Linked DNA regions of Oreochromis niloticus. The protein of the gene in region 1 purifies or fractionates together with the protein of each later gene. This does not show direct contact. Links are inferred from orthologs where the notes say so. Each region holds a gene or a part of one and is shown in the gene's direction. Other genes may lie near its edges.

Evidence for each region.
Region 2: the proteins of gdi1 (region 1) and rab12 purify together in Homo sapiens (co-immunoprecipitation; 4 studies listed by BioGRID and IntAct, counting the BioPlex papers as one, with this or other methods). This does not show direct contact. The link is inferred for Oreochromis niloticus from reciprocal best matches to the Homo sapiens genes GDI1 and RAB12.
Region 3: the proteins of gdi1 (region 1) and rab4a purify together in Homo sapiens (co-immunoprecipitation; 4 studies listed by BioGRID and IntAct, counting the BioPlex papers as one, with this or other methods). This does not show direct contact. The link is inferred for Oreochromis niloticus from reciprocal best matches to the Homo sapiens genes GDI1 and RAB4A.
Region 4: the proteins of gdi1 (region 1) and rab6a purify together in Homo sapiens (affinity purification with mass spectrometry; 3 studies listed by BioGRID and IntAct, counting the BioPlex papers as one, with this or other methods). This does not show direct contact. The link is inferred for Oreochromis niloticus from reciprocal best matches to the Homo sapiens genes GDI1 and RAB6A.

The regions. Positions count from the first base shown.
Region 1 is NC_031984.2:7,303,478-7,311,178, reverse strand, and holds the start of gdi1 (rab GDP dissociation inhibitor alpha), read left to right. Parts: upstream 1-4,460; 5' UTR 4,461-4,753; coding exon 4,754-4,798; intron 4,799-5,772; coding exon 5,773-5,880; intron 5,881-6,058; coding exon 6,059-6,158; intron 6,159-6,928; coding exon 6,929-7,063; intron 7,064-7,148; coding exon 7,149-7,347; intron 7,348-7,527; coding exon 7,528-7,659; intron 7,660-7,701. Other genes in the region: V-type proton ATPase subunit S1, read right to left, coding at 24-61, 158-351, 447-521, 1,359-1,479, 2,773-2,891. UniProt on the Homo sapiens protein: Regulates the GDP/GTP exchange reaction of most Rab proteins by inhibiting the dissociation of GDP from them, and the subsequent binding of GTP to them. Promotes the dissociation of GDP-bound Rab proteins from the membrane and inhibits their activation.
Region 2 is NC_031982.2:24,892,707-24,900,745, reverse strand, and holds the start of rab12 (ras-related protein Rab-12), read left to right. Parts: upstream 1-4,522; 5' UTR 4,523-4,688; coding exon 4,689-4,917; intron 4,918-6,067; coding exon 6,068-6,128; intron 6,129-8,039. Other genes in the region: napgb (N-ethylmaleimide-sensitive factor attachment protein, gamma b), read right to left, coding at 985-1,069, 1,180-1,247, 1,433-1,488. UniProt on the Homo sapiens protein: The small GTPases Rab are key regulators of intracellular membrane trafficking, from the formation of transport vesicles to their fusion with membranes.
Region 3 is NC_031965.2:25,563,409-25,571,959, forward strand, and holds the start of rab4a (ras-related protein Rab-4A), read left to right. Parts: upstream 1-4,897; 5' UTR 4,898-5,053; coding exon 5,054-5,069; intron 5,070-7,119; coding exon 7,120-7,200; intron 7,201-8,551. UniProt on the Homo sapiens protein: The small GTPases Rab are key regulators of intracellular membrane trafficking, from the formation of transport vesicles to their fusion with membranes.
Region 4 is NC_031975.2:10,589,281-10,597,388, reverse strand, and holds the start of rab6a (ras-related protein Rab-6A), read left to right. Parts: upstream 1-4,583; 5' UTR 4,584-4,866; coding exon 4,867-4,936; intron 4,937-7,278; coding exon 7,279-7,337; intron 7,338-7,450; coding exon 7,451-7,504; intron 7,505-8,065; coding exon 8,066-8,108. UniProt on the Homo sapiens protein: The small GTPases Rab are key regulators of intracellular membrane trafficking, from the formation of transport vesicles to their fusion with membranes.

The DNA.
Region 1 (7,701 bases):
ATCCTCAGCACTTAAAAACATACCATTCTCATGCAGGACTTCCTTGCATGACTTCTGTAAGCTACAAAACAATTTAAAAATAATACACTTTAAGTATTAAATAAAAACAGATAACTGATTATTCAATATAATTTTGAATTATTTTGAAAAATCTCACCTGCTACAATAAGGAAGATTGATGAGCAGGAGGTTGCTGACAGATGTTTTGATACTCAGATGTGAGAGAGAGTCTGCATCGACGAGCACAGGCGAAACACCGAGCTTCTCCTGCAGCAGAGCTGCCATGTTAAAGGAACCAGACCACTCCAAGGCAGGCAGTGTCACTTTTGAGGTAGAAGACTGCATTGCATCCTGAAAAGGATCAAGTGGGGAGAATTATTAGTCTCTGTTAGTCTAGGGAAAAACTATCTTAATTTTGGACTAACATATGTGTTATAAAAACATACCTCAATGTTTTTAAAAGCACTATCCTCCTTGTTCCCAAATACTCCACCAAAGACTGTGAAGTCATCTTTGCTTAACTAAATACAAAAAGGGAAAAAAAATATTTGTTTCTTGAATTCAGGAAGACTTAAACAACTGAAACATTTATCAGTCCCATTAACCCACGAGCAATTAATTTATTTTAGCAGCTAAATTGACTTAATGCCATTCATAATCAGACATTATTTTAAAGGAATTCTTTTTTAATGGCTCAGTTTGCATTTAACATACTTAAAAAATACAGACTGTATAAACAAATTACATTAATTTGGACAATTATTATCTGCTACTTCTTCCATTTTCTTTGTTTCAGTAATACTAGGAAAAACTACATTTCAAATCTTAATGTCTGTTTGAGTGACTTGTTGTCTGTATGCATGACAGTATGCTAGTGTGCCAAAATGTGAGTGAACTGGCGGCTCCACAATACCTCAATTAACAACAAACTGGAATGAAATCATTGTCGCATTCACGCTTTTCACGCAAGCTATATCTAAAGGAATATCTTGTTTGTGCTTGTGTAGTTGTTTAAAAGTTATAGAGGATTTACAATGACAATTTCATGACAATTACAATGATTAAAAATATCACATGGGAAAATATAAATATATGGCTCAGTCACAACACTGAGTGTTCACCACCACCACAAAAAAGACCCGATGTATCACAGAGGAACTGAGAAATGGGAAGTAATGCCAAAACTCACTGTCACACCACACTGTTGCAGTGTCACATGGGAATGCAGTACAACTACCCCATTTTACACAACTTGCATATAAAAGGACTAGCTTTCAAATCAACGAAGGGTGAACAATTTAGTGACATAAACATATCCATTACAGAGCCAGAATCTAGTTCATGTGTCGGGTACTGACCTTGTCCTGCAAGAACAGCAGCACAGTGTGGGAGCCAGAGCTGAAGGCAGAGGTGAGGTAGGCACTCAGCTGCTCATAAGATGCTATATGACCAGCTGCAGGTGAGGCCAGTGGTGGCAAGCTAAACATAAGGAAAAAAATAAAGATGAATTGTGATATTAAGTGGTTCAGTTGCATTGACACATTTTTTGAAAATGCTGAAAAACCCCAGCGGCTTTTATTATGAAGCACAGTACTTCATTTTATTTTGAAAAGCCACCCATCAGTCAATCAAATGAAACCTCTGAATACTCCCCAACAAAAATGTGTTTCCTGTAAAGCTGGCATAACATTATACAAAAATGATAAATGTCTAAATAACAACAACTACAACAACAACAAAAATAATGAATCAGATATTCATCCTATCATCAAAGAAAACTATTTTGGTATATCAACCTTGCCTTGTCCTCCTGCTTAACACACCACCTCATACAGTAGTATACTTCCACATTTTAAATTCCTGTGTGCGCCATCCTAAAGAAGTGTAGTACACTTGCAAAACTCTTGCAAAACTGTGTTTTAGCAAATGTGCCAACCCAGCTCTTAGTAAACTTTTACAGGAGCACAATAGAGAGCATCCTCTGTCACTGCATCACAGTGTGGTACTTCAGCTGCACTGCAGAAAACCGTCGAGCTCTGATCGTCAAAACTGCCCAGGGGATCATTGGAACCAAACTCCCGAATCTTGACACCGTTTATGCTAGCCGTTTACAGAAGCGAGCTAGCTGCATCATCCAGGTCACAGACTTTTTGTACCCCTCCCATCGCGGAAGAGATATAGGGCAATCAGAACCGCATCCCCCAGAGCTGTAGCCTGTGTCACCGCTCCCCCCAACACAAAATAGCTAACTCTCCCTCTCTCTCCTTTACTCCATATCATGTCTGCTGCTAATGTACAAAAGTGAACAAATTTCGTTGTATAACTAATGACAATAAAGTTCTTCTTTATCTTTAATCTTACAGCTTACTTTGCTTTTTTGCAAATGAAGATCAACAACATTAACATATCTACTAGTGCTAAAGAGCGTCACCTTAGGGGGTTAAATCATGGAGAATCGTTATTTCTGTGGATTATTTCAAAATTAAGAAATAAAAGGATGGCCATTATGAACAAGAGCTGGATTTCACAATAACCTTTTAGGATTTTTTTATTGTAACAAAACGCACAAGCAAATATCTACAATTTCTGTGTAAATACTCCTCTAGATATTTAGCTCCTAGACTTTAAACGCTTAGTGTTTGCAAGGTTGGGCAGCAAAGTAGAAACTCACTTAGCTAGAAGAGTTAGCATCAGCGTTAGCATACAAGATAACTTTGCCGGTAGTTAAAGTGAGTTCTGCTGAATGAATTAGTAAGAAAAACTAAATATTACCGTTCACTGGACCACATAAGAAAAGGCACTTGAGACGTGGCGCTCCCCAAGGCGAAAAAAGGGGCGAAAAGTAGAATACAAACACCCATTAACCGAGTGCAGCTCCTCGAACCTGCCATTTTCGTTTAGACTTTTCCGGAACTCTATGCTCACGTGACCCACACCACCTGACAGTCATGTGCTGAAGAGATGACTTCCTCCTTCTTTCATTCAGCCCGAACAGCCCACAGCAGCTGCTGACACCAATGACACACTACAGCTTTGCTCTTATTTAGTTTCTCTCGGCGAGAACAGTTTAACATTTCCAGGAGCGAAACCGCTACAGTACCATCAGCTGCCCATCAGCACATTGCTTAGCAGAACAATTGATTCTTTAAAGTATGGTGTGCGTGTGTGTGTGCGTTTAAACAAAGAGTCTTCCATTATCACTTCATTTATATCCATATTTTCTTTTTTTCACTTTCACTTAGGGCGTAGCCTAATTGTCTAAGAAACTCTTAAGCATTTAAGAGTTAAATTGTTTAATTCCCTCTTTGTTTCATGTCCTAACAATTACAAATAAGTAATTAAGTAAATTATAAATAGATAAATAAATCAGTCTTAACATTTCTTTAATTGAAAAGCCACTCCTCAAAAAACAAAAACAACAACAATCAAACAACCACCTGTTAGCAAACGCTTGGTGCCAATGGGAAGGAAAAACTCCCTTTAAACAGGAAGAAATCTCCAACAGAACCAGGCTCAGAGAGGGGCAGCCGTGTGCTGCAGTGGGTTGGGGTGATGGGAGAAAGCCAGGATAAAAGATTCATTGTGGAAGACAGCCAGAGATTAATAATTACTAATAATTAAATAAACAGTAGCCCAATAACAGTTATGGTAATGCTGTAGTTACTTAGCATTTTACCTGTCCCAAAAAGCATAATTATGCTTATCCTTCTACTGAACTCCTATATGATATTATCATATGTAAGGCATAGATAAACTTCAACATCACTGTAATGTAAAAAGGATAATATATGAATCATTCAGTGATCATGACTGCATAATTAACTCTGTACAACAAATACTTTTACTTTAGCTACTTGGGACTGTAGGTTGCATTTCACAGCCAAAACAGACTACTTAAATAGGAATGTGACATTTACTTAAAAAGGGGCCTAAATGCTTGTTTAGCCACTTTGCAGAAAGGTTATCCAAATCTTTTGCAGCACTACTTTTCGTGTAACACCGTTTTTATTAGGAGACAGGGCTGCAGAAAAGACACTTTTCTTTAATAATATTTAAATCCGATCAAACATTACGATCCCCTGCCTTACCCCTGGTCCCCCACCCTACACCCCCTGTACCACCCCGTTAAAAAAAGGAAAAGAAAAGCCTGGAAACACCCCTGCTGTAAGGGCCTGAGTGCGTGCGCTCAGTCAGTGAAAGCAACTCCCATCCACACAGCTGTGGCAGCGGAAGGATATCTCTGCCTTCATCCACGCAACGCTGCGCCTACAACTGGGAAGGAAAGATAGAATAAGAAATTAGAGAACACACACACCGTGGTTTCAAAATGGCCAAAAACAAAAGCCAAACTCCACAACAGCACACCCCGTGTGCACAATAAACTATCGCCAAAGCCGGCTCAAAGCGGCGTCTCCCGCTTTGCAGCTTGAGCCCATTGTGTGGCAGGATGGGAAATAGGGAAGGAGGATGCGCACTATTTACCGACGCGCAGTGACATTGTTCTAGACTGCTCCACGATCAGGGCCATCTTTGGTCGTCCTCGCCGGTGACAGTGTGGACTGTGTATTCCATTGGTCATTTATACCCAATGATTAATAAATAATATTTAACTTTGAAGAGCAATTTAAAGCACCTGTGCAGAGATAGTAAGAGACAGTTACCCGGTTTGTGGACTCACCGGTTTTATTTGCTTCCAATACCCTTCATTTCTCAAGGCAAAAAGAGGGCGAGACGGGAGAGGCGGTGAGACAACATGGATGAGGAATATGATGTGATCGTTTTGGGCACCGGACTCACAGTGAGTAGTCAAGCTTTGTTTTGTTTGCACAGAAACACACCGAATTGATTGTGTCAGCTTCCCAAATGATGGTTTTAGCCAGACCAGAGGCCCGCTATCCTCTATCCTAGCCAAGGAGTGAAAGCCCCTTGCATCCCGGCGTGCGTGTCACATTAGAAATTTATCATAAGAGATGCGCTTTGGAAATAAACCGCACCAGCTGATCTGCTTGTACACGACAAGAAGCAAACAGTTGCTCGACCGGGAGTTGTTTGCTTTCCCAGAGTCACAGCCGGCTCAGTGTTGTGTTACACCCAGCAGCATCTTTTAGGCGTAACCCCACAGTGTGTCATGGTCCTCTTTGCATAGGCAGGCCTCCATCCTGAGGTTGGCGCAGGCCTGAGCTCCGGTTTATTAAATGACAGAGCTTTTCACTGCTGCCACTATCGCCGCACTTTCCTTTCACTCATCACACCCTCTGCGGCAGAAATGCGCTTTCTGTGCTTTTCTCCCAGCTCTTTGCATACACGGAAGCCGATATTCTGGTAGTTTTATAAATGGAATCAAATACGACGATGCATATCCACAGGATTTTTCTTTTCTATGTAATACATTTTTAATAACATTATTACTATTATTGTTATTATTATTATAATTGTCGTAGCTACGTTGTTAAGGCGATACAATCACGCATGCGCACATCTTTTCCACTGTCCCCCGCATCCTTCTGTCAGAACCTCCTTACTTCCATTTACATTCAGTGTCTAAACTAAGCGGCGTGCTTATCTCTAATGATATGCTGTAAAAAGGTCTAGACCAAATAATAGAAACATTTCTCATCTTGACAACTTAAACTACACCCCTCAATGAATGATTCAACACATCTCTAAAACACTGGAGCCTTGACAAGAGAAGGATTTATTATAGGGCTGTTTTATACCTAAGAGTTATTGATGTAATTGATGTGTTGGATAAATAAATCCGCTTTCGTGCAGGAATGCATTCTGTCCGGGATCATGTCCGTGAATGGCAAGAAGGTTCTGCACATGGACCGAAACCCCTACTACGGTGGGGAGAGCTCTTCCATTACACCCCTGGAGGAGGTAAGGACTTCTGGGATCTATAAAACCAATCAATAAACTTTTAATGTTTCTCAGTATATCTCATTTTACTTCCAGTCCCATCTGTCACCCTTTTACTGTCTTCATTTGCTAACTGCTTTATCCTCTGTAAAGCCTCGGATTCGATGGGCCTCACAGGCTTTCCTGTCCTTTTCCACAGCTGTACAAGCGCTTCAGTCTGCCAGATACCCCACCTGAGTCAATGGGCAGAGGACGTGACTGGAACGTTGACCTCATACCCAAGTTTCTCATGGCCAACGGTTAGGATCCTATTACTAATTATATAAAAAAATGCCATAAAAGTTAGCACGTGATAAGTACACAAGAGCCAAAGTGCTTTTCAGACTATTCAAGAGGGTAATTCTGGAGCTTAATATTGTAACTGCAGAATGCTTTAATTCTTCAAGGTTGGTCACACACTAACTGCTTGTTTAGGTGACTCTGGAGACCCTGCAATGTAACCTATTTAAGTGGCCAACACCTTTGCCAGCATTAATGCTTGTGGGTGGTGTTTTACCATGTCCTGGTGTTTTATAAGCAGTGCCATTCGTGACAGGAACAAATAAAATGCTGGGACTTTTTTCCCTCCTGGCCTTTAATCTTTGTTCCAATCAATATTTTTTCAGAAGCCAACATATTTGTCCATAAAGTTTTTCCACTTCTTTGTACATTTCCTCATATTTATTCTAGTAGTTTTCAAAATCCCCCACCAGGAATCTGATGACATTTCTGAGTTCTTACATTGAGGCGGTGGTTGTTGTCCTCTTAGTGATCCATTCAAAAACTAGGGTAAAAAAGTAGCTGGAAATGCATAGGAGGAATCGACCAGACTAAACGGGCCAAATACAATAGTTGTGGGATGTGTTAATGCAACATACTTATATTTCCAGGGAGGTGCACGTCATGTTACAGCATGTTACGTCGTAGGCTTTCAAGGGATTTGTGGTTTTGTTGTATATGTAGTGTGGATTTAACACAGAACCGTAAATCCCCTGTAAGATGTTGCGTGTGTTTGCCTCCCTGATTGCAGGTCAGCTTGTAAAGATGCTGCTATACACAGAAGTGACACGGTATCTGGACTTTAAAGTAGTGGAAGGCAGCTTTGTCTACAAAGGAGGAAAGATCTACAAGGTGCCATCAACTGAGACTGAGGCACTAGCTTCAAGTAAGTCACCTGAACGTTGTCTCATCACGTTTTGCACGCAATGACGTCAACAGTAGAATGCTGAAACCTCGGTTTGAATACACAGATCTGATGGGAATGTTTGAGAAGAGGAGGTTTCGAAAGTTTTTAGTCTTTGTGGCCAATTTTGATGAAAATGACCCCAAGACCTTCGAGGGCGTGGACCCCAAAACCACAACGATGAGGGATGTTTACAAGAAGTTTGACCTCGGTCAGGATGTCATTGACTTCACTGGCCACGCCCTGGCCCTCTACAGGACAGATGAGTAAGAACAACATCACCCATTATCAGCCGTTTAATTGGTTTAATTCTGCTTAATGTCACAGTTGCATGCTTTCAAATTTGAGTCACAGATGTTCTTATCAGGGAATACCAAGGGTTTATTGTTATTATGTGCTTAAATAGATATTAATGGAGTTCTCACATTGTTTTTGCTCCACTTCAGCTATCTTGATGTTCCTTGTTTGGAGACGATCAACCGTATCAAACTCTACAGTGAATCACTGGCACGGTATGGCAAGAGCCCTTATCTCTATCCCCTCTATGGTCTGGGAGAACTGCCACAGGGCTTTGCCAGGTATTTTAACTTAAATTAAACTTATGATATTTATGATGGAGT
Region 2 (8,039 bases), on another chromosome or scaffold:
ACCCCTGATACAAACTTCCCACAGTCTAAAGTATCATCTTTGTTTGTCTAAAACACAAATGCATATCAGAAACAATCATATATGAAAGAACGCTAATTCTCATGTTTGACATTTGTTCTTGAAAATTACAAACAATCTGCAGCCACTGATTTAGTTACAGATAGTTCGAGCCACAATGGAGCACATTTAGTCTTCTAAGCTGCTTTAATTCTTCTTAGCAAAAATCAACAAGTTGCTAGAAATCTTCCTCAGAGGTTTGGGTCCTTGGAGACGCAGCAGGATTACAGTTGTTACAAATTTCTGGGCAGCACCTTACAAATGTGATTCTACTGTTCAACTTCGTCCCAGAGGTGCTCTGTTGGATTAAGACCTCCTTCGATTTTTGACACAAGGCAAGATGAATCCATGCCAACGTATAAAGTGCTCATGAAATGAAAACTCATCAGAATCAGGGGTGTAATAATTCTTCAAAGCCAGATTTGTTTTACCAGGGTTTGATGGCAGGGTTTTAGCTCAAATCTTAGTTTTCCTTGAGAGGTTGAATAACAAAATACATATGGGAAAATAATCAGTTTGCCACAAATCTTGTCACTTAATTCTTTCATTATAAACTGATGACATTTCAATATTTCTATGCAATATCTCCACGTGGGTCTCACAGTATGGAATGACAGAATTATAATACATTGTGTATGTTTGTGCCAGAGTCTTTCTGGTCTTGGTTTTAGAGTTTTTACACCCCTAGTGAGAATAACTATGGTACACTGTTAAATCTGCGATAAGCAGGTACCCTGGACCAAGCTATTACAGGATCCAGGGTGCAGGGTTAAAAACGGTTACACCCCCACACTGCCTGCACGCTTTGTGTTTCTGTTGTCTGATTGGCTGATTAAAGGTTTGCTTTAAAGAGCAGCTAACAAAGTGGCTAGCGATTGCACAGAATATATGCAGACTTGTGCCTTTCCTTTGATCGGGAAAGGATACGTTTTGTTTTCTGTGTGGTACTCAGCTTCCTTCAGATAAGCATCCTTTGCTTGTTCATACTGCTTGGCATTCTTGAAGCACACAGCTAGAAACAAAGCACAGAGGTTAGCTCACTGTGAAATTATATATTTTTAATATATAGATTAAAAAAACCCACTCCAGTTTTAAGCACTATAGTGTCGTTTCGTGTTTTACCTGCTTTGGCGTATTCTGATGCAGCACTGTCAAAGTCAGGCTTCCACTTTGTCAGACTCGTTTTTAAGCTGTAAACACACCACGAGGAACAAATAATAAACGAATAATACAACTATAGTGCGATGGATAAATAACCATAAAGTCACTTTATGTCGCATAACCTTTCAACAGAAAATACACAGTGGCCTTACAGCTAGCTAACGTGAGTAGTAAAACTACAGAGCAGGAAATAATCGTTTTTGTCCTCGCTCACCATTTCTCCGCTTTAGCTATGTGCTCGTGCGCTTCGTTTATCTTCTGAGCAGCCATGATGTTGATCGATCAACTCGGTTATGAGGAATATGTTATTGATAAACGACTATGGATGTTGCTTCGTCGATGTTTGGATTACCAGGAACTCCTCCTCGGCCGCAACGTCACCAGCTGTCGCAAGTTACGGATGCCGCATTGGACAAAAAAAACAACAGCAGGGAATGCGAAAATCTGGCTCTAGTACTGTAATGCAGCTAAAGAATTTGCTTTTTGTTTTTTAAATGAAAGACTATACAATCAGATCCATAATGGCACATTTTTTGGCAATTTCCCCTCTGTTCACCACCACAGTGGATTTTTAAATGAAACGATCAAGGTGTGATTTAAGTGCAGACTTTCAGCTTTAATTCCCATCCCAAGGTTTAGGTGTTTACTGTCTAGGGTTTACAAACAATGTAATTTTCAGGCCCTCGCTTTAAAACCAACTCATTTATAAGCTCAGTTTAAAACAACAACAGCCTTTGCTCAAAGTCTGGATTATGAATTTGGAAGCAATCACAAGAAAGTCTGGTGACGTGGGAGTCTGCAGTGTGGTTTCAAATTCCAGAAGTTTCACAAAGCTTCAGTCTAATGTTTGCTGATAATATGTTTTGTAAATATAAAGAAAAATAGAGTGCTAAATTAATGCAGGACTGCAAGGGCCTTAACTTAACCCTCCATGACTAACAGGTCTAACAGAACACCATGACACCACCAGTGTTTGGTAAGGTTGCAGGCACAACAAAAAAAACCACCCACAACTAATTCTGTAACTTTCCATCAGGGAGCGAATAGGCACTGTTAAGTCAGGGCGTGGGCCCATTGATTATCTTCAGTTCACAGTGTATTTATTTAAGTATCTTGTATTCATTCAGAAATTTGCAATCACATACTGGTTCTGTACTTTTTTTTTGTTATTTTTTCGTAGCTGAGGACAAGTGAAGGCGCAGGAGGCTATAGCAACTTGACATAGTGGGCCTCTTTAACATTTTCCAGATGTGTGTGGAGTGAATGTATGGAACCCGTACATGTTAATACCATTGGCAAAGCACCAGATAGTCAGTTTGCCATGCTTATGAGAGCTACGTCAAACTTTATAGGACAGTGCTCTTTTGTTCTCTTTGTCAAACTGCACTTTCCCTTGTGGTCTTTACTGTTTTTTCCTTGCCAAACATTAAATCAAATACACTTGAGCAGAATTCCTGAGAGCTTTATATGACTGTGAGAAAACAGGACAACTTGCATTGATTCTTCACACTTACACTAGATATTCACAGTCCTGTTTGTTGGACTGCAACCTCAAGTCAAATAAAACTTGTACATATCACAAATTTACCTACAGGGGCTTTAAAGGGATCAAGAATCTCAGTTGTGATACAAAAAGAAAACGTTTTTTTTTCATGGTGAAAAGAAAGTATATCTGCCCCCTTTTCTAAGGTTTTACATGTCAGGATATTGCAAAAAAAATGAATTAGTCATTGGTAGGTCTTAAGTTTAAATGAATACAGCTTGAATTGAACAACAAAACATGATGTATTACATTGTGCCATTATTTAAGTAAACGTAGAAACAGTGTGTGAAAAACTGAATGCACCCCATGATTCAGTAGCACCTTTTATAGCAATAGTTTGAAGCAATAATAAAGGTTTGCGGGGCATCATTTTATTCACAGCTCTCTTAAGGTCAAAACTGTGATCAGATTGAATTCCAGACTTTGACTGTGACATTGCAACACCTTTATTATTTTCTTTTGTCAGTCATTGTGTTATATGTTGGGCTCACTCTCCAGTTGCATGACCAATTTCAGTCAGACAGATGGCTTCACAACTGACTTCAGAAAACTTTGGTATACAGAGGAGTTCATAATCAACTCAATGACTGCAAGGAGTCCAGGTCCTGTGGTTATGAAACAAGCCCAATCTGCAGCCGTGCTAACATTTGGTGTGAGGTGTTTGTGCTGATATGCTGTGTTTGGTTTTGCCAGACATGCCACAAGAAGTCTCGTGGTTTATTCTGAGGCCATTTTCCAAACCAATGCCGTGCTGTCTTCATTTTAGAGAAAAGAGGCTTTTTCCTGGCAAACTTTCCAAACAAGCTATATTGGTTCAGTCTGTTTCTAATTGTACTGTCATGAACTTTTAACATTGAACATGCTTACTGAGGTCTGTGAAATTTGTAGTTCTTGTTTTTTCTTTTTTGCAAAGTCCCAGAGCCTGTGCTTAATTTGCTTGGACATCCACTCTGAATACAAACTGGCAACTGATATCAATGTTTTCCACTTGTTAATAATCTTTCTCGGTGTAGAATGATGGAATTCAGTGAAATTCATATGGACTTAGAACCTTTTCAAGACTGATGGGAAGCAACAATTGTTTCTGTAAGATCAATGCTGATGTATTTCCTTCTTGGCATTGTGTTAACACACACCCGAATGCTCCAGACTAGCAAACTGCCAAAACGTCTTTTATAGAAATGCTCAGAAGTTGCTGGTGATTAAATAATCAAGGGCACTTAATTACCAGGATCTGACCTCTACTTACCCTCTTAATTCTTTTGGGGGAAGGGAGGGTGTATTTATTTTTACCATGTAACCTCTATATTTTGACTTAATTTTTGTTAAATAAATAATTACAGGGTATAATATGTCATGTTTTGTAATTCTTCTGAGGCTTTATTTACCCAATTGTAAGACCTAATAAGGACCAGATTATGCACTGAAATCTTATAATTGATATAATTGACATCCTCTTATAATTGACATTATAAGAGAATGTGCCCTGTTTTTTTGTTTGTTTGTTTGTTTGTTTGTTTGTTTTTTACCAGAACTCTTATTCAAGATCCCATTCTTTGTAACATGCAGACCTAGTAGGTCTCTCTACATGCAGGCCTAATATTTGGTTCCTTTTTTTATTGAAAACGTTTAATAAATCAAAAAAACATGTAAAAGTAATTCATTCTGATTACAAGTGATTAAACGGTCTCTGTTTATAATTTTAAAAAAATGTATAAAAATGGAAATCATAGCCACCGGAAGCGGAAATGACATCACGGTGGCCCCGGTCTCTAATGGCTGAACAACAACAACTGTCTGCGACTGACAAACTTTCGCAAACTTCATCAGAGACAAAAGAAAGTTAGAGATACCGGCTTGTGTTGCTTCTATAACCGGTTAGGGTTATTTGTCTGTTCGTCTTATAGTCACAAATGTGGGATTACTAATGGATCCGAGGTATGATATTCCACGGAGGGCCGCCGGCGGTGGCGGCGGGGGCTCCGCGAACTCGTCCCCCGCTCTGGGGGCTCAGTCACGCCGCAGGAAGATGCCTCCCAGACCCGCTGATTTCAAACTTCAGATTATCATTATTGGCTCTCGTGGTGTTGGTAAAACAAGTCTCATGGAAAGATTTACCGACGACACTTTCTGCGAAGCTTGCAAGTCAACCGTAGGTGAGGACAGAAGGCATTAAAAGGTTTAGTTTTTTTTGACAACTTTTCATTTAATCAGCTAAAACATGTAGAACGGCTCCGGCTAAATACTCGAGGAGAAATGCTTAAACTACTGTGGGGTGCGCCCAGTGACCATAAATCCTCCAAGTTCACTGGCATAGCGACTAAACTTTATTTCTAATGCTAGCTGTAGCCCGCTAGGTATGTTGATAACAGTATCTTAGCCAGTTGACCATGGTGACTGAAGTAACAATAGCATTTCCTTTGACTTCAATCACATGAACTAGGTTTCCTTAAGCTTTTTTTAACGTTTGCATGTAGAGATTTTAGACTTCTGCTAAAGGACAGCGTTTTTATTAATTAAATACGAATGAATAATTGTACTTTATTACTGTTCTGATAATATTTGCAGAATATTATATTATAGGTATTATGGGTCTGAATTACTATGTTTACTTCTAGTTAGCCTGTTTTGGTTATGTTAACCAGGAAGTAGTCTTATCCAATACCACCTTGATTTTACTGATGTATCTCTACACAGAGAACTAACATGTTGCATATTTCTACATAAAAACACATTCTTTAATTATTTGATTATTTGACCACTGGTATGTTTACTTACTGAACACGAGATTGCCTTGTGACAAATTGCCAGTCGTGTTTGCAGATTAAAAATATACATGAGATCTGTTTATACATTCAGCTGGGTAAACAGTCCTATGACCAGTCCGGCAGCCAGCCATAGTGTCCAGTCCCAAAATAGTCTAACAGAAGCAGCTGCTATAGCAGAGCTCCATTTTGTGCCCTGTCATTCCCTGACACAGCTCATAAATTGTGTGAGATGTGTCACTAATAACATGCTTCTTTGATTAGGTACCACAGAGGGAATAGTTTTACAGTCTCCCAGCCTGTCTGAAAAAGTTGCCTCAGACGAGCTGGGTGATGCAATGTGGCTTGTATTGTTTTGTGGCTGACTCAGTGAGTCCTCCACATCTATTAAATCTACTAACACTAGAACTTGTGGGCAGAGTCTTGAACTTAAAAATATGTTTACTGGATACCGTGTTAGCTATTTAGCTAAACATAAAGGCAAAGCAACAAAGGAATTGCTTATATTTGCCTCTGTTCACATGTTTTGGTTCCCTCATAGGAGTTGACTTCAAAATCAAGACGGTTGAGTTGAGAGGGAAGAAGATTAGACTACAGATATGGTAAGTGACCAGTTCCTTTACTTTCCTGCCTGTTGCATGTCCTCTGTCTCTCTGTCCGTCCTATCAGCATGCAGGCTTCACTAACAAAAGCTGCTGTTTGGCTTACTGGGTGTATTCCAGCTGTGTTTTTTGCATGTTTCTCCATGTCAACATGATTTTGTACAGATTTCCAGTGTCTCCAATGGGAATCTTACTTTTAAACATCATCATGTAAACAACATCATTATTACTCACCATGCTGTCTGAGGTTTCAGATTGCTTGTTTATATCAGGTACTGCTGTTGTTACTAGGAATATCTCATCACTATTTCTTTACTGATATCTTGAGTATCTGGAGGTGCTGGTGTGCTCTTTTTGCCTAACAACTAAGCAGTTACTACTAAATTTGTGTGAATGCATTTGACCTAACTTGGCTATCTAAAAACATTAAACGGTTCTACTTTCCTAAAGGTTGCACCTATGAGCTGTGAAATTATGTAGTCAAGACTCGGTGGAGTCGTGTCTGAATCTGTCAGATCTGACCTAGGAGAACTGAGAGACCATGTGAGAATAAAGCAGGAAATTGTCTTGTGAATTTACACTGAGTGGGTGTCGTTTGTCAAAGCTCCTGCATGATCTGTTCCTGCACTACCCCACAAAACAACCATCCATGCATCCCTGTTTTAACTTATCCTATTTAGAGGGCTGGAGCCTATACCAGCTATCATAGGGTGAGAGGCGGGGTACACGGTAGCCAGGTTGGAAATGCATCAACAGAAGCAAATAAAGTATTTTCCAGTACCGACAATCTTCTTTTCTCAATTTATTTCAGTTTATTTTATGTAGCACCAACTAAGAACCACAGTTGTTTCAATGTTATATTGTAAGGTAGTGAGACTATCTTTTAAATGATCCCCTATTAACCAAGCACTTGTTGATGGTGGGAGGAGAAAAAACCCTCCCTTTTAACAGTAGCTCAGGGTCATCTACTATCACCAATCTAGGGGTAAAGGGTAAAAGAACGCAAAGAAAGACCATGCACAATAGTCAAGAGTTAACACCAACTACAGAGGAGAGTAGACAAAAAGTTAATGACATGCACTAGTGGCCTATAAACACATAGGGGATGAAAAAATGCTTAGAACCTTTGTACGCCTTCCTCCTCCTAATTAAAATGTTATAATAGTTGTGTGGTTAAAATGGTAAAAACCAAAACAGAGCAAATGCTATTCTTAGCATAGTAGTGATTCTGTCCATACCCCATCAGTGGGTTGCAATAAGTGTACTTTATTATCAGTGGTTGAGAGTGACGTCAGTGAGGTCTCACCTTGGCCAGTACACCAGCAGCTCTTTGTGGTTAGTAAGCACAGCATGACCTTATGTGTTCAAAATATTTTCTGATGAAGCTCCTTGGTGACATACCCAGATTGAAATATTTTTATCCACAGATCCTGGTACTAATAATATAAGAAATGTAATGCAGACTACACTTCATTAGGTTTTTATAATATTTGGGCTTACTGTAGCAGAAGACCTTTTTTTCCTCACGTAATGAAAATGCCTGCAAAATTGTATCGTACCCTATCACAGGCAATCCACCAGGGTTGTTATCAACTTGACAAGTCAACTCTGGGTTTCCCAGTCAAACTGACTGTATTCACAAGGAAAAAACAAATTGGCTTCATATGGCCAACCCAGAGAATGACAGTCATATTATATTCCAATGTATTAAAAAAAAAACAGAAAACCAAACTACGATATTAGGGAAAAATGCAAATTGCATGTAAAGTTAATATTACGAGGCTTCAGGCTTAGAATAACGGTAAATGGAAGCAAGCAAACGAGCGAGGAATAAAAGTATCTGTAAGGATCTGTGTATTCTGAATAAAAACTGTAGATCTTCTTGCTATCTGCACACTGAGGTGCAAGGGC
Region 3 (8,551 bases), on another chromosome or scaffold:
CAGGTTTCTGTAAGGCAAAGTAAATCGATTTGTTGATCAATTTGTTGTAAGAAGAAAGCATGGTATTTATACAGACAGTATGTCATGGTTGGCTGTGTGGCAGGCAGGCAAGCAGGAGTGGTCGACCCAAAATGCCGGACTCAGACTCGAGGGATGAACTCAAAATACTCAGCTTTATTTGCTGGCACGGGAAAACAAGCATACAAAGCAAACTAAACTAAACTGGGAAACAACATAAACTCACAGGAAACACAGGGAGAGCCACACAGCATGAGGGTGAACTGACGTTAACGACACGACAACAAGAACTAACTGACAGGGACTAAAATACACTGGCAGGCACATGAGGAAACGAGTAACAGGTGGGCACACAGCTGGGACTCATTAGGCTAGTAAGGACAAGGAAGTAAAACAGAATACACTAACATGAGACAAGACCTTCAAAGTAAAACAGGAACTCCACAGGCAGAATTCAGAGACAATACTAACACAGTACAGAGGGAACACAGAACAGGGACAGGAGGAACATGAGGGCAGAACTAAAACCTAAGAGCTAGAAATCACAACCCAGAAGGACAAGAAATCTAGAAAAGCAAAACAGAACCCAATAAACAATAATATAGAATCAAAACACTGGGCCACAGGCCCAGGACCGTGACACAATACTTGCTTTGAAGTAATCCCATGTGTGCATACAAGCAAGAATTATGAGAAATCCCAAGATGAAACTAAAACTAGAGGTGGGCAGTTCAATCAAAATATTGATGGTATTTATACTAATACTGGTGTTAGTATTGGCTCTATACTAGCTTGATAGGTTTGGTACTTTGCTTCTATCCGCTATGTTCAGCATGTAGCCCAGTGTGTTCAGTCAGTTGTAGGACTTTGAAGGGCTCAATAGGTTTACAGTAGCAAAAACCCTAGTGTAGTTCATCTGGTTCAGATCACTTATGTGGCCTGAATTGATTTCCTGTGCTACTAACAAAATTTAATTTAAAAAACCAAACAGGTTATGTTGCTTCCTATTGGCCTGCAGGGTGCAAGGCAGACTTTGCTTCCTGCTTCAGTGAAAACTTCTGCATACGTTGTGATCCAGGTAACTTCCTGTTCAGAGGCAAATGTTAACGTGCTTGTCCGAAGGGGCAGAAAACAATTCTGTGCGTATATAAAACAGGTCCACGGCTCCAAACAGTAGTAAAGGGACCTCTGGCTAATACTTTGGGTTCTGTGTCAGGCTCGAAGCCAAAAACTACCTTTACTTTGTTGTCTGGGTCAACTTTGCTATTGAGAGACAGAGAGAGGTGTTGAAAGGCTCCTCCGATAGAAGTTACTGTTTGATGAACACAGTGTACAGTCGAGTCTTAATAGCTTACTTACAACTGGGCTCATCAGGCACTCTTTTTGGCTGCAGTGGTTATTATTATATTTACATGCTTCCGTCTCCCGTATCTGGTCAGTGACAACTCGTACTTTCTTTAGGGCTATGCCTGTAACACTCTGCCTATTGCCTTCATATTAAATAATTTTTTGAATAATAATTTTTAAAAATATTTCTTCAAGTCATTATGCGGGCCCCAAGTAGAGTTGACATGGGCCGCGAGATTGAGACACAGGCATTAGAGCCTCTTAATGTGTGTTATGTTTGGGTTTCCACCGGTGTGGAATTAGCAAAAATAGAGAGGGCATAGCCTAACATACGAAACAGGAAAAGACCACTATGTAATCTATTTATTTCAACGAAATAACTGTATTCTGAATATCACCTTTTAAAACGATAACTGCAATGGAATACAGTTACTCATATTTTGTATTTTAAATACGTAATGCTGGTACATGTATTCCATCACTCCCCCAAACTGCCTCAGGCAAGTATGGGGCAAATCATACTTTCAGATTTGACAGCAGAATAATGATGAAAACTTTGCGTTTGTGCTTGTTAGCAGCTCAAAATGGCTGAGAAACACAAAAATGTTTAATGCATACAAAAGATACACCAGTGCTGTGGATTCCCTAAACACTTCAAGGTTCTCCACACACTGAGATAAGCCACAAAAGCAACACCAACCCCCAGCCCCCGTGGCTCTCCCTGGTAACAAAAGTGCCTCAAACATGACCCTAAGGATCTTCGATTATGCCAGTGGTTTTGATCCTAACGTTGCTGCTGATTGGTTTAGATTTACAGTTTGTTATTTTTTCATCCTGCGTCTCCATCTCATTCCTGTGCAATAATTTCACCGCTTTCCCACTGAAATGTTAACACAGATAATGAAGTTCAGAGAATTTGATTATATTTGCTATGTTATTTAGCAAATATAATCACCGGATGTAGCAACTGCATGAAAATGTAATAGAATTGCTGCCATTCTACCGCTGCAGGACATTTTCTGTGCCACTGATGAATTTTAAACTAATCCCTGGACATAATATTAAAACATGCACTTGTTGTATAGATGACATTTGACCTCACACAAAAGGAGAACCATGTTAATCCTTTTTGTAACATTTTTTTCCCAACATATTGTAACCCCTTAATGTCAAGTGTATTATATTTGAGACCTGATTTTTTTTAGGCTTCATCAATGTGATTTTTTTTTTTACCCTGGTAAACCTAAATAAAGACATTTTTAAGCCCAAAAAAGTTAGATGTAGCAAATATTATGCAAATTAAAAGGCATATATGCAAATTACTTTTTTAATATTTCTTTAAAAATGTTCAGTTTTCTAGAGTACGGGTTGCACCAAGCAAAACACACAGTAACTACAATGTCTAATTAAAAGTGGAAATTCTATACCTGAGCTGGACAAATCTATTTTTTTCAAGGTTTATTATTTGTTTTTCTTAAAACAAATAATAAACCAAACCAAAACTATGTACAGGTTTAATGAAGCCCTCTTTTACTGTGAAACACTCCTTTTATGTGCATGGTGTGCAGCCACACCAGATCTGCCTCATTTGCACATCTATGCAGAACATTTAAAAAGGAAATACATTGATGAACTTTCATAGTGCTATCACTTAGTTTGTTTTTCTTTACCCTTTCCAGCTTTTGTTTGTTTGTTTATTTACTATTAAATAATCTGTTATTTATGCTGTAAGGGCTGATTTATAGAACATTTCTATGCCAAAATGGTGGAAAAGTGATTCATTTCTTATGGTATCTTGTAATTGTTTGTTTGCTTGCTTGCTTGCTCCTTTAATGGAAATGTATGCACATTTGTGCGTTTTTACACAGAAGATACCTCATTTGTAGAGGTACAAAAAAAAAAGAAAAGAAAAGAAAATTTGTTAAAATAAAAGAACAAACAAACAGAAAAACTGTAATACAAAATACAAACAAACAAAACAGTTTTTTTTGTGACAGTTGAACACACCCATCAGGACATAATTTTCTACACACATTTACAAATGTATGTATTATATCTTCTTGCTGCTGTTTCCTGTACTGTACATATTATTTTTATGTCAGTCTTTTCACTTACTTTAAAAAAAAAATCTTTAACTTCATTTTTTATTATGTTATTTTAATATTGTTGAATGTAAAAAAAATTCTCTACATCAAATTATAAGATCTCCAGCATGGGCATGTTACTTGTACTTTGGAATGTCTGTCTGACATAAGAAGAGTGTATTTTTTAGGGTTTCTTCACTTCTGTGTAACCCTCTCCCCCCCCATGACTACTATTTTTATTTATGTATAATAATGTAATGTAAGTAACACTTAGTGCACAAACTAGTCTGTGCATTCAGAGCAGTGGAGGGAAACCCTGCCCTTCGAAAGCTTTGAAGAGTCCTGACACTTGGTAAGGTAAGAAGGTTTAATTTATCAATAAATATTCTGTAAGACATTAAATATGTTAAATATCCTGCATTTGTCTGACATTGAAGCTTTGACTAATGGCTGTGAGAGGCTTTGGAAGTTTTTCCATGTTAAAAAAATTGCTCACATTAGATCTATTTTTTTCCTTTTCCTTTCCTAACACTTTGTTAAGCAGTCCAATGGTCAGGAACACTCTTGATGGACTTCATATGGTCTCTGTTTCTAGACTAGGTGAAACTGTAAATCATTTGAAACCCTCAGTTAGTTTTGTGGTCTAGTTTCTGCTTTTTTCTGCTTAACCATTTTGCTCGTAGTCTCAAGTAGAGCTTCCAAAGATTGATTTTTTTTTTGTATTGTTGCATTGTTAACTTACATTGTGTACTATGCTTGCAGGTGCAAAGCACCTTCAGATAATACACTTGCATTTATGTAATGCTTTTCTAGTCTTATTATTGATTCAAAACACTTTCAACTACACATTTATGCAGGACTTCTATAAACTTCAACTACCTTACATCCGTGATCTGTTTAGAATCACCAGTGCACGAACATACATGTCTTCAGACTAAGGGAAGAAGCTGGAGTACCCAAAGAAAACTGTGTGAACTCCACACAGCTAAGCCCAAACCAGGATTTAAGCCAACTGTGAGGCAACAGTGCCTCTTGAAGAGATTTGGGACAGGAGTGATGGGAACACATATAGTTTTACCTTTATTACCACTATCCCATTAATAATGCACACAGATATGACATTTTCCTTGATTTGACCTACACTGGTGGATTTAAAGCTAATTTCAGTCGGGACAGGTCAAATTTGATTGGAGCAGTCTCAGTGTACAGATATGTGTAGCACATAAATTTAAAAAAAATTCTTTTTTATGTTTTAGGGATCACCTTAGGAAACGTCATCCAATTTCAAAATAAAAGACTTAATATTTATTCATTTAGTCACATGTAAAAAGTGACCTAAATAGCATCCAAGTCTGTGTCAAAAGTCTCAAGCAGACACAGCTCCACCCTGCGGCTGCCTGAAGACTTTACAGTGATCCAACGGTTCTTCGGTTAGACGGCTTTTATTTTGAAACAAACCGCGTACGGGAAGTCGGAGGGAAAAATCAGCTGGACTCCGCGGAAATCACCAACAGGAGTATTTTCCTTTTATTTAGCTAGCTAACCATCTGTCAACTCCCATTTCTCCCTCCCTTCTTTGTTGCTGTCAAACCGCCACACTGGCGATGTCGGAGTCGTACGGTAAGAAAGCACTTTTGACCGGCGGCCACCGTTATCATCCTCCCGTAGCCTCAGAGATGGGATGGGGCAGGTGTGCCCAGAGAGCTTTTTCTCATCGTAAACAGATAGCTGACAGGCTAACCGAGCCGCCGCTGAAGGCTGCTGGCCTTAAAAGTTGCCTCGTCAGCGTAAGGAAACCCACAAAGGCTGTACAGCAGAGTTTAGTGTCGCCGTGTGCAAAAAATGTACCCCCGGCACAAGGTTACAAAGCTCCCCGGAGGGTATCGAAAAAGACAGGGGAAGCTGACACCTGGCTGGGGCTTGGTGCAGCTGTAATATCTGACTAAGCTGCAACATTACAGCCACATATGAGGCATTGTTTTCTTAGCTTGACCATTTCACACCAAAATAATGATTATTTTGCTAGTTTAGTGGTTTAATAGTGGATGAATTCCTCCGTTGCACAGAACAGCTGATTGTAGTTTTTGTTTGCCTACATCAAAGCCTCCAGAATATTTTTTTTTTTGGGGGGGGGGCTTAATTGTTTGTTTGTTTTTTATTAGGATAATACCTATATCAATATTTGAAAGCTATAACATCAAGCAAGAAAAGCCAGGCGCTGTTTGTTGTTAAACATCAGTTTATTATGGCCAAAGCATCACAGTATTGTGCAGCATATGCTTGAGCCTGACTGATAAATGGAGTTTGGGAGCCGGTGTGCACAGTTTGTCACACTTATATATCTGAAACCCATTTGGAACACCTGCCAAGAAAATTAAAGACAAAAATCAAATTTCTAGTTTAGTCTGTGCTGGACTGTGGTGATGTGGTGATATGATTTGTCTGCATCTTGATTTTGCATTGTACTTTATCGCAGGTGATTCTTTTCGGTCTTGTATGAAAAAATGTACTAGTCCTCTTAAGCTATAATAATACTACAGGAGTATATGGTGGTAAATAAGGGTGTTTGCAAGGCTACTGCAGAGATTACTGGATTTACTAGACTTCACAACAGTGACGGTAACTCTCACCACTCAAGTGGGGGAAAACTAAATTTAAATGAGCTATAAAATATATGAAGCTACAGTCTCTAATTTCTCTAGAATATTTTGAAAGGTCATGTTTACGGAACTTGAACCACACCCTCATTTGTTTATATTTTGCAAGGAAAATAAGAAATAGGTGCAGCACTTTCTTTGAAACATGCAAAAATATATGGAAATACAGAATATAAGGCAAAAACAGAGTTTGTAATGAGTGTGAAAGTCAGGATTTGGTATGATTTGGTATTCTTCAGCACAGCCTGAGCTCTGTTAGACAGTTTTTTGTAATTTCTTTAAGTAGCCTTCAGGAATAGTTCTCTGGGCTTCTAAAAGGACATTCAAAGCTCTTCTTTGGATTTTGACTGCCTTTATTTCTGATTTCTATCAGGATGATCCCAAACTGCCACTGATTTTCAGTCCAGTTCTTGTGTAATTTGGCATACCTCAACCTTTTCTCCCTGTTTCCTTTCCTTAAGAACAACTGAGTTTGTAGATGGATCAACTGAAGGATGAGTTTTATCTCTCAGGTCAAGTTATTACAGTTCACTAAAACTAAACTAAAAAATAAAACTGTGTTTTTTAAAGATGGACTAACTGAGGTGACATTGACTAATTAAACTAAACTAGTTTAGTTTGTTGTCACATGTAGCTTTATTAGGCCTTGGTACATTTGGTTATTGAGGCTTGGAATGACTGTGAGATGACTGTGAGCTAACTGCCTGTGTTTGTATTATAATATCTGTTCTGAACCTCTGAAAAGCACAACCCAGATTACAATAAATAAGAAAGTTGGTACTGAAGCTAAACACTAAAATGAAACGAGCAAACTCACTGTGGAAGTGAAACTAAATTGACAAGAAAAACGAGCTGGAAAATACCAAACTAAGACTACAGTAACTGAGCTTTTCCCACATTTTTGTTGTAATTTCCTGTCGTGTTAGCTAGCGTCTATATGAGCAACTAGTTTCATATAGTCTGATAATAATAGCCCAACTGATGTAATGTGTGTCTTTGCTTTTCCTTTGCAGATTTCCTGTTTAAATTCCTGGTGATTGGGAATGCTGGAACGGGGAAATCGTGTCTTCTGCACCAGTTCATAGAGAAGAGGTGTAAGTCTGAAAGACGCAGCACGCTCCTGACTGTTTACTGTAAATTACAGCACTACATTAGGGAATTTCTTCAGGCAAATTAGACAGTAAATATGCCAGTAATTTCCACATGTTAAAGATTCCTAGGATGGAAATCAAGTTTTCAACCTTTTAAGTCCATATTTAATGAGTGAAATAAGCTGTCAAATCCATGGATATGACTGCATTCTTAATCCATGGATTTAACTGTGTGCATTTATACTTGCATTCTGAGTTTTATAGGCAAAACTAAGAAATCCTGTTAACTTTGGGTTAAAGCTAAGCTTCTCAGAGCTGGCAAGCTGGAAAGGGGGTTGTGTTAGATAAGAAATGCATTTACATTTCTAATATTGTTGAGGATGATGCACTGTAATGACAAAACTATTTGCTCGTCCGCCTTCACACTCATATGAACTTGAGTCTCATCCCATTCTTAATCCATTGCGTTTAATATGTCAGCCCACCCTTTGCAGCTATAACAGCTCCAGATCTTCTGGGAAGTCTTTCCACAAGGTTTAGGTGTGTGTTCATGGGAATTTCTGATCACTCTTCCAGAAGTGCATTTGTGAAGTCAGACACTTATGTGGTTTGAGGAGGCTTGGCTTGCAGTCTCTGCTCTAATTCATCCTAAAGGTGCTGTGTCGGGTTGAGGTCAGGACTCTACAGGCCAGTCAAATGCTTCCATGCCAAACTCACTCATCTATGTATTTATGGACTTTACTGTGTAAGTAAACATACGCAGTCATGTTGGAGCAGGACGGGGCTATCCTTAAACTGTTTCCACAAAATAGGGATCATGAAATGGACCAAAGTGTCTTGATATGCTGAAGCATTAAGAGTTTGCAGTCAGACAAGTGCTGTTATCCTGGCAACCACCAAACTCAGACTTGTCCACTGCTCTAGTGTCCAGTGGCGGTGTGCCCTTTACACCACTGCAACCGACGCTTTAAGTTGTGTTTGGTGATGTGTCGCTTGAATGCAGCTGTGTGTCCATGAAGCGATCTATGCACTGTTCGTGAGCTGATCTAAAGGCCACATGTAGTTTGGAGGTCTGCAGTGATTGACAAAATTGACTTTTTTTTTTCTAGACACTGTGTGTCTGAGTTGTTGTTGTTTTTAAATGCTTCCACTTTGTTATAATACAACTAACAGCTGACTGTGTAAAATTTAGTAGTGAGAAAATTTCAGACTGGACCTGTTGGGCAGGTGGCATCCTATCACGGTACCATGCTGGAATTAAGTGAGCTCCTGAGATCAACCCATTTTTACAAATGTGTGTAAAAGTAGTCTGCAGGGATAGGTGCTTGATATTTATACACCAGTGGGATTTGAA
Region 4 (8,108 bases), on another chromosome or scaffold:
CCCACCACACACACACACACACCACTCCCCCACCTTCTCTCCCGTAGTCTCTCCCCCTCCCTTGTGCAGTGATGCTTGTCCTCCCCCTGCCGCACTACTCCGCTCTGCGCTACAGCATATGCTATAGCTCACTGAATGACAGCCATGATCACCCTCTGTTTTCCACTTGCCTCTGTTCTCCTTCCCCTCTCCTTCTTCTGTCCCTGCCTTTGTCCTCCACCTTACCCCCAGGGCACTCCTTGTACTTTAGCTGCACTCACTGCCATCGGTGCTCCTCTGCAATCGTCCTTGCATTGTGTAGAAGCTTTGCCTTTGCTGCACCCTTGCTACTCCAACCTAAACACACACACACAACACATACAGCTGATCCTCCTTGGCTCACCTCAGCAAACGGCACTGTAAACACACACACACACTTGCACTCGATGACAGCTCTGAATCCCACTCTCGCACTTCCTACTGAGGACTGCAGATCCACGCCAGCACACAAAGCTCCTGCCTGCTGAATGTCATTTCATGACTGGAGGAATGGTCGCTCCCACAGCTCTGAGTGCTACAAGGACCCATAAAAACCTGCATACACACACATGCATACACACACATGCACACACGCACGCTCAGAGACACACACTCAAACACGCTGCCACCCAGCCCCTCAGTAATAAATCAGCTGCTTTGCTGCATCCAGTGAGGCTGAACCCAGTCAATGTGCTGCAGACCTGCTGTCCTGTGTTGTCCTGTGTTGTCCTGAGTTGTCCCCCTGGCAAAATTCAGCACAGTCCAACACCAAGAGTCATGTCTTGCAGGGATGAAAAGCTGTCCTGAGAAACCTATTTCTGGGCTCCATCATCTTGCACCCCCCCTCCCTCCCGCCTCTCTCCCTCCTGCTCTCCTTCACCTTCGCTCTCTTCCTCCTTTTCCTCACGTTTGTTCTGCAGATCTGAGTCCTGCCAACTACCTCTGTCTCAGCGTTCGGTCCCCATCTCTGCTCTGTGCTCTCCCCTCTCTCCCTCTCTCTCTCTCTGTGTCTCAGCCTCGTTCATCGCTCTATCTCTGTCACACTCTGTGAGCATGCAACACCCCTCCTCCTCCTTTCATAGATCTGCTCTCTCTCATCCCTCCTTCTCGCCCTCCCTCCTTCCCTGCCTCCTCTTGTAAATGTGCTTGGATTGCTACTCTGATCTCTGCTTCGGTTATGCTTGCAAGAATGCCTCCCACTGTACTGCTGTGCCTGTTCCTGCCTGATGTTGCACAGAAAAGACGGAGTTGTGATCTAACTGCGCCTCCTGCCCTGTGTTCATTGCAGTTCTTTGTTCCAGTCTGGAAGCTCGACGGTGTTTCCCTTCACTTCAAATGCTCTCTTCCTGGTTTTTTCCCCCCCTCTCATCATCTAACCTCATGATTCCAGGAGGAGGATTACAGGAGAATTGTAGCTCTGCTCCACCCCATCCCCCACATATCCCCTCCCTTTCTCTATCTTACTGTATTGGGGATGACAACACACCTATTTTACCCTGGCCTAACCTTCATACCCCTTTTTTCCGATTTCCCCTTTTCATCTTCTCTCTGTTCCTCATCAGTCTCTCCTCCATTAGAGCCCTTGCGTTCAGTCTCCCTCACAGGAGAGATGAGCACAGTGTTGTACTTTGGTGTGACATTGACATTAGATCAAGGTGGTGTGGGAATGTGATGGTCTCCATCCATTACGCACATGGATACGGTCAGATTCATACAATAATGCACAAACATCCCCTATACACTGTCTCTATCTGAACAAGAGAAGAAAAAAATAAAGACTTTTTTTCCCCAATATGTGAGTCATAGCAAGGTTTTCCCATCTAGAAGACTGAGTCAAGTTTTGCAGAAGTAAATGGTGTGGTGGCCTGACATGAGACCAGCGCACCAGGATGAAGTCATGACTTGAGGTGACAGCTTCGATTCTTTTGCACCATGCTTCCTTTTAGTCATGCTCCTTTGATTCTGGATTACACGCTTTTCAAGCTGACAGCTCAGTTTCTTGCCGAATAAGGTGCGTGACTTTGAGGAGCTTCGGGGGAAATTTGATAGCACCTCCTCAATTCAGGGTGCTGATGCATTTTTCAAAAATGAGCACATTCAAAATGCACAAGCTCTACAGAGGTCTACAGCGCAATCCGTCTTGCTGTGCGCGTGGAAACACACGTGCCGCATCCCTCTGTATGCTTATGCGTGAGAGGCGGAGAATGACTGAGTGAGGGAGACCGGGAGCAATGGAGAATTTGTTAATTCAGCATCTTCAGCGGGAGGGGCGGGAGATTTGGGGTCTTTCCCTGGCCAAGGACATGTGGCGTAGGAGTGCTATTGAGGAGAGAAGAGGGAGGGGAGAGGCAGCCGGCTCAAGTTGATGGCTCAAGTTTAATGAGGCGCGGGTCGCAACCAGAGCAGCTGAAGGGCTGGCATCAGCCGGTCAGCTGCTCTGCAAAGAGACTTCAGAGCTGCATGGCACATGAATGAGAGCGGGGCGCAGGTGTGTCTTCTCTTCAGTGACTTAGAACAGCTGGCTCAAGCAGGCATGAACTCACATACTGTACCTACACACTAATAATGCATTGCCTTTTATACTTAAAACCCCTAAAATGTAAACGTAATCCAGGCTAGTGAACAGTAGGGTGAAGTCAGATGTGTTTCCTCTGGTTAATTAATAGTTGAAAAAAACACTTGCATCTGTAGGGTTCTGACATTTTAATTTATTTTCTGTTTCAGCTCATCTTTGATCTCATCAGGATGGGTATGTCCACACAAATAATACATGCCCTTACACAGCACATGTATCTTTAATAGGAATTATGTAAGAATTAAATTACCCTAACAACAAGGATGCTGGAATGACAAAATATTGAGACCAAAGATGGTTATCAGTCAGTGGGAGATTATAAGTATCTTGATTTGGTATTTAAATGACTGCAGGTAAAAAAGCAGAGGTGTAGTGTTCATTGCTGTATATGAGAGTGGATCATTTATATAATTTATTAAAACACTAACAGAATTAAACAGGTAGAATAAAGTATACTGCAGCACAAATTAGTGCCACGTAATTAAATCATGAAGCCTTCATGCCAGCATTTTCATTCATACATCCCTCTATCCATAATCATGTACCGTGTGTTTTATCGTTGTGTATAGTGTATTATTTTACTTATTTTGTATTTGTTTGTATTTTATTTGTATTTTTGTATTTTTCTTCTGCTATCTGCACCTGAGCTGAGGTAACGCACAAATTTCTCCACCATGGGATCAATAAAGTCTTATCTTATCTTATCTTTTCTGTCTTTGGGTGGAGTAAGTAAACCACCTTGTATGTTGCCTCGGGGCTTCATCCTTCAGGACAGCAGCTGTCTGATGAGCTGAAGGTCATGAGTAATCCAATAAAAGCTACACAGGGTCCTGTAAACATCACAGGCTGATACCAATTTTTTAAAAGTGTCCGACATAATAGAACTAACAAGTCAGACATCCACTTTCACAGCTACAAACTGCTACCCTCAACTGTGATTTAATTTCCTTCACAAGGACTCTTAATGCCAGTTGGCTTGATGCTAAATGGTTACCAGCAAAACCTGGCATTAATAGAGCGAATATAAGGCTGAACATGTGCACATTGCAGTGAGGTTTAAAAATAGGCTGAACAAAAAGAATGCCATTCTTTCAGCACCAACAGGACTGATTAACACTGTCGAATGCTATATGGGAGTGTTACACAGTTTCTTTAAACAACGTTTATTCTACATTGAAAAAAATGAAATCAAGTTTACCTAAAAACTCTGAGTAACAAAGAAAGAAATTCTAATGTAAATTTTACTCACTACTGGGGACTGTTTTTAATAGAAATAGTCATTTATTAGTGCTTGTTGTCTTCCTTAATCTTCTACTTCTGAAGGATTTCATCATAAGTGCTGACCCCGTGTTTGCGTGGGTTCCGGCTTCCTCCCACAGTCCAAAGACATGCAGTTAGTGGGGATAGGTTAAATGAAAACTCTAAATTGCCCATAGGTGTGAATGCGGGTGTGAATGTTAGTGCGAATGGTTGTCTGTGTCTCTGTGTTAGCCCTGCGACAGACTGGCGACCTGTCCAGGGTGTACCCTGCCTCTTGCCCTAAGACAGCTGGGATAGCCCCCCTCCCACCTCCCACCCCGCGACCCTGAACAGGATAAGCGAATGGATGGATGGATGGATGGATGTTAAAAAATGTTTCCATGTAATTTAACCATCGGTAAAAGTCACCGTCTAATTCTTTAGGTTTAAAAATTATTGGGATTCCCATTAAAATTGCTTAGTAGTGAAATCTCACCTGTGATGAAAGTACCCCCTCTAGTGGGCTTTAAAAAAACACACCCTGCCTTTTCCTTCTTTTTCAGCCTTAGCGCGGTAGTTTTTTTTCCCTCATAATGCTTCCAACTTTGTGAAATAAAAAAAAAAATCCACTGAATCATATGTATCAGTGCGTTGCTCTGCCAAAGGGGCAGTCTGGTTTTTCATTGTGGGTTTTTTGCTCCACCAGCAGAGGGCAGCACCGCAACATGCCAAGACACATCAATCCATAAAGTTGTATCTGAAGAAGAGTGGCCCGAGGTGGCTGGTTGGTTTGGTGTATATGACAGAGTAGAAGAGTAACGCTAACTTGGTCGCAGTAGTTAGTGAGGTGCTTAATATTGACTTGGACTTTGAAGGAATACGCTTCGAGCACAAAATTTCCTCAAGTCAGCCACGAGTGGGGCTGTTCATTTTCGCTGCTTCTGGACATTTGATAACTGACAACAACTGGTTAGTTAGCATTAGCTGACTAGCTAGGAAGCTCCCGAAAAGTAACGTCAAGGTTTGATTCAGTCATGTCTTCGGCCGGAGACTTCGGAAACCCTTTAAGAAAATTTAAACTGGTCTTTCTTGGTGAACAGAGCGGTAAGTCTGCTGGTAATTTTAAGTGTTGTGGGATGTAGGATTTAAGTTTTTTGCTCTGTTGGACATTTAGCTAACACCAGAGTTTGGTGGGTGATTAACGTCAACCAACTAGCTAGCTAACGTTAGCCACGTATCGTTAACACTTGGCAGTGATGGCATTACGATACAGTAACTTGTTACGAACAGTTTCTTCGCCTTGGCCTGATTAAAAAGGTGATTCATTTCCTTCAAAATGAGTCATGTCTGTGAAAATGGACTCTTACTTCAGTTGTGTGACGGGCTGTGATAACACATCATTAACGGAGGCATCGGAAATTACCAAGTGTCATTTAACAGGATGTTAAAATATGAAGCACCAGCATTATGTCTTCGTTATTGTAGGATAGGTGAACTCCAGTCATACCCTGCTGTGTTTAGAAGATGTTCATAATACTAGAGTGATCATAAATTCATAATTTCTACCCTGGAGCAACTTCCAAATTGGACGATCCTGCCAAGCAGCATTCCTGCGATCTCCCTACTAATTTACACTCCTTCAGTGTCTACACAGAGGGTTCGTGTGGGCTGTTTTTCATGTCTTAGGTAAAGCTGTGTGGCTGTTCGTTGTGTCGTCCGCGGTGTCCACAGATTTTAGGGTTTAAAGTAGAATTTGGATTATTGGTCCAGCGTTGTCTCTTTCTTTGGAATATACTTGCAACATATTTGAAGGAGCTGTTTCATGTTGCTTTATTAAAACAGTATGAAGTTGGAATTCTCGGTAAAGAGAAACTTGGATCAAACCTGAACTCAGATAGCCACCAAAGGACAATAGGGAAGACAAAAAAGGGGCTATTGTCAAGATGAGATTTTGCACCATTTATTCATAATTTTCCAGCAAGAAAGGAACAAAGAAGTCATGGCTTCTCCTGCTGTGATGTGAGAAGAATAACAAACCCAATCACTCACAAAAAAGGAAGCTAAATACATAATAAACATCTAAGCTGAAGAAATTACAAGAAATGTCAAAACCATTACATTGCACAAATATTTATTATAAGACATACCCAAGAACATTAAAAAATGCAAACGTAGAAAGAGTCCCTGCATACCTTTTTCCCAAAATATAAAACTTGTCTTTCAGTCGCACTGTGCCATAGACTGTATATAAAATAATACAGATCTCTTTAGAAAAGATGTGAGTTGAGAAGCTGCTGTGATAAATGAAACTAGGAAAGAATTAAGGAAGCAATAAGGAAGCCAAAACTTGATGACATTATTGACAAAACTGTAATAAATGTTTTTGCTATAATATGACCCGTAAGTCCCACCAAGATGGGAAAGACACACTGCGTTTTTCGGACAGTCTGTGATAAGCTGTGGCTCCTTTAAGCCTTGTAAACAGCAGTGTTGTCTGTAGCCCTGTCACCATCCCTTGATGGACATTGTAACTGATAATGTAACTCGAGCTCAGCAAAAACAGTCTGAGAACTGGCAGCACTGTGCGAGTACTCAGAGCTGCTGTGTGACTGTCCCTGATGTGTTAAAGGTATTCATAAATGTTTTTCTATGAGATTAGAAAAAAATTGAAGCATTTTACAGCTGCAAAGTTTGTAAAGCGTAGTTTTGTGTGTTGAACAACATTACAGAGTTTCATATTACATATGGACACAAACCCTCCATTGTGGATCAAATCAGCACCCTGGATACACTGGTGGGGGGAGTTCAGACATAAATGGCAAACTTTGCTTACAGCCCTTTTTCTCTCTGTGCTTTGCTCAACCCTCTGACTCCTGAATTACTTTGAACAGCTGTGCACTACACGCTTAGTGGACAAGAGGTCTGAAGAGGGCAGTGGGAGTTGTGTGACATGAAGCTGCTTGCTTTACTCTGTTATTAGTGGTCATCATCTGTGGAAAAGGGCCACAGCAGCTGCTTCGGGTTGAATAACTTTAAACACATTTCATTTCTGCAAGCTTTCAGAGATCTGCGTAGTTTTTATTTAGCCCTGAAATAATTATTTTGCTTACAGCTGAAATTATTAGTGAACTTACTTGATTACCAGAATCCTATTGGCTCCAGTTAAAGGCAGCTGGCTTGCTTTATGTTATTGCAAATTAGATATGTTTAGGTTTTAGACAGTTGGTCAGATAAAATAATCTGTTTGAAGACTTTGGGTGCTCAGAAAGTGTAAAAAGCATTTTCAGTTTTAAATTTTCTTCTAGTTGGGGGGAAATGTAGAATAGGTTCAGTTATAGAGGCAGTTCTTTTTTCCAGGGGAAAAGATGGACCTAATTCTTCTCCAAAATCAAAGTGATCGTGTGGTCATTGCACTCTTTAAGAGTTTCTTGTTTGTGTTTGTGCAGTGGGAAAGACTTCATTGATCACCAGGTTCATGTACGACAGCTTCGACAACACCTACCAAGTGAGACTTAACACCTCCACTTTTAACTTTAATAATCATTGATGATGCCTGATATCAACAGCAATACTCATTGGAAATGACTGTGAATATTTGGTTGATTCTTTTTTTTTCAGGCCACAATAGGAATTGATTTCCTGTCAAAAACTATGTATCTTGAAGACAGAACAGTAAGTTTATTTTTGTCACATCCAGTAACTCTGTTTTTGTTTTTCTTCTTCTTGTTCAGTTGCTTTTCTTTAGCCACTGAACTGGGCTCTTTCTAACACACACAGAGACAGCATTTGTACATTGCTACTGTGATCAGGAGTGTTGTATCCCCCTTGGACAATCCTCCTTTTCTCTGTTCATTTCCTCCCTCAACATGAGTTTTCTTCCTCTCCTTCCTACCCTTCCATCTACTTTCTCATCACCGTTTTGAAATTAAACACCTTACTTGATCCAGAGCGGAGGGCTGATGACAAGTGAAGGGTGATTACTTCTTTCTTCCCTCCCAAAGGCCCAGACAGCTAGCTCTCTCTGGTGCTTATTCACTGCCTGCATGCACTACGTGCTCACCTTTCTCTCTCTTTATCTTTTCCCATTAGTCCAACTTTATTTCCTTTTATTAATTTTTTTTGTCACATAAACTTACCCCATTTGTGTATTTGTTTTTCTTGTTTCATTTTCATCTCGTTTTGGGTTTTTTTGTTTTTTTTTCTTTCCATCCCCTTCCCCTTCCTCCCCCACAGATTAGGTTGCAGCTGTGGGACACAGCAGGACAAGAGCGATTTC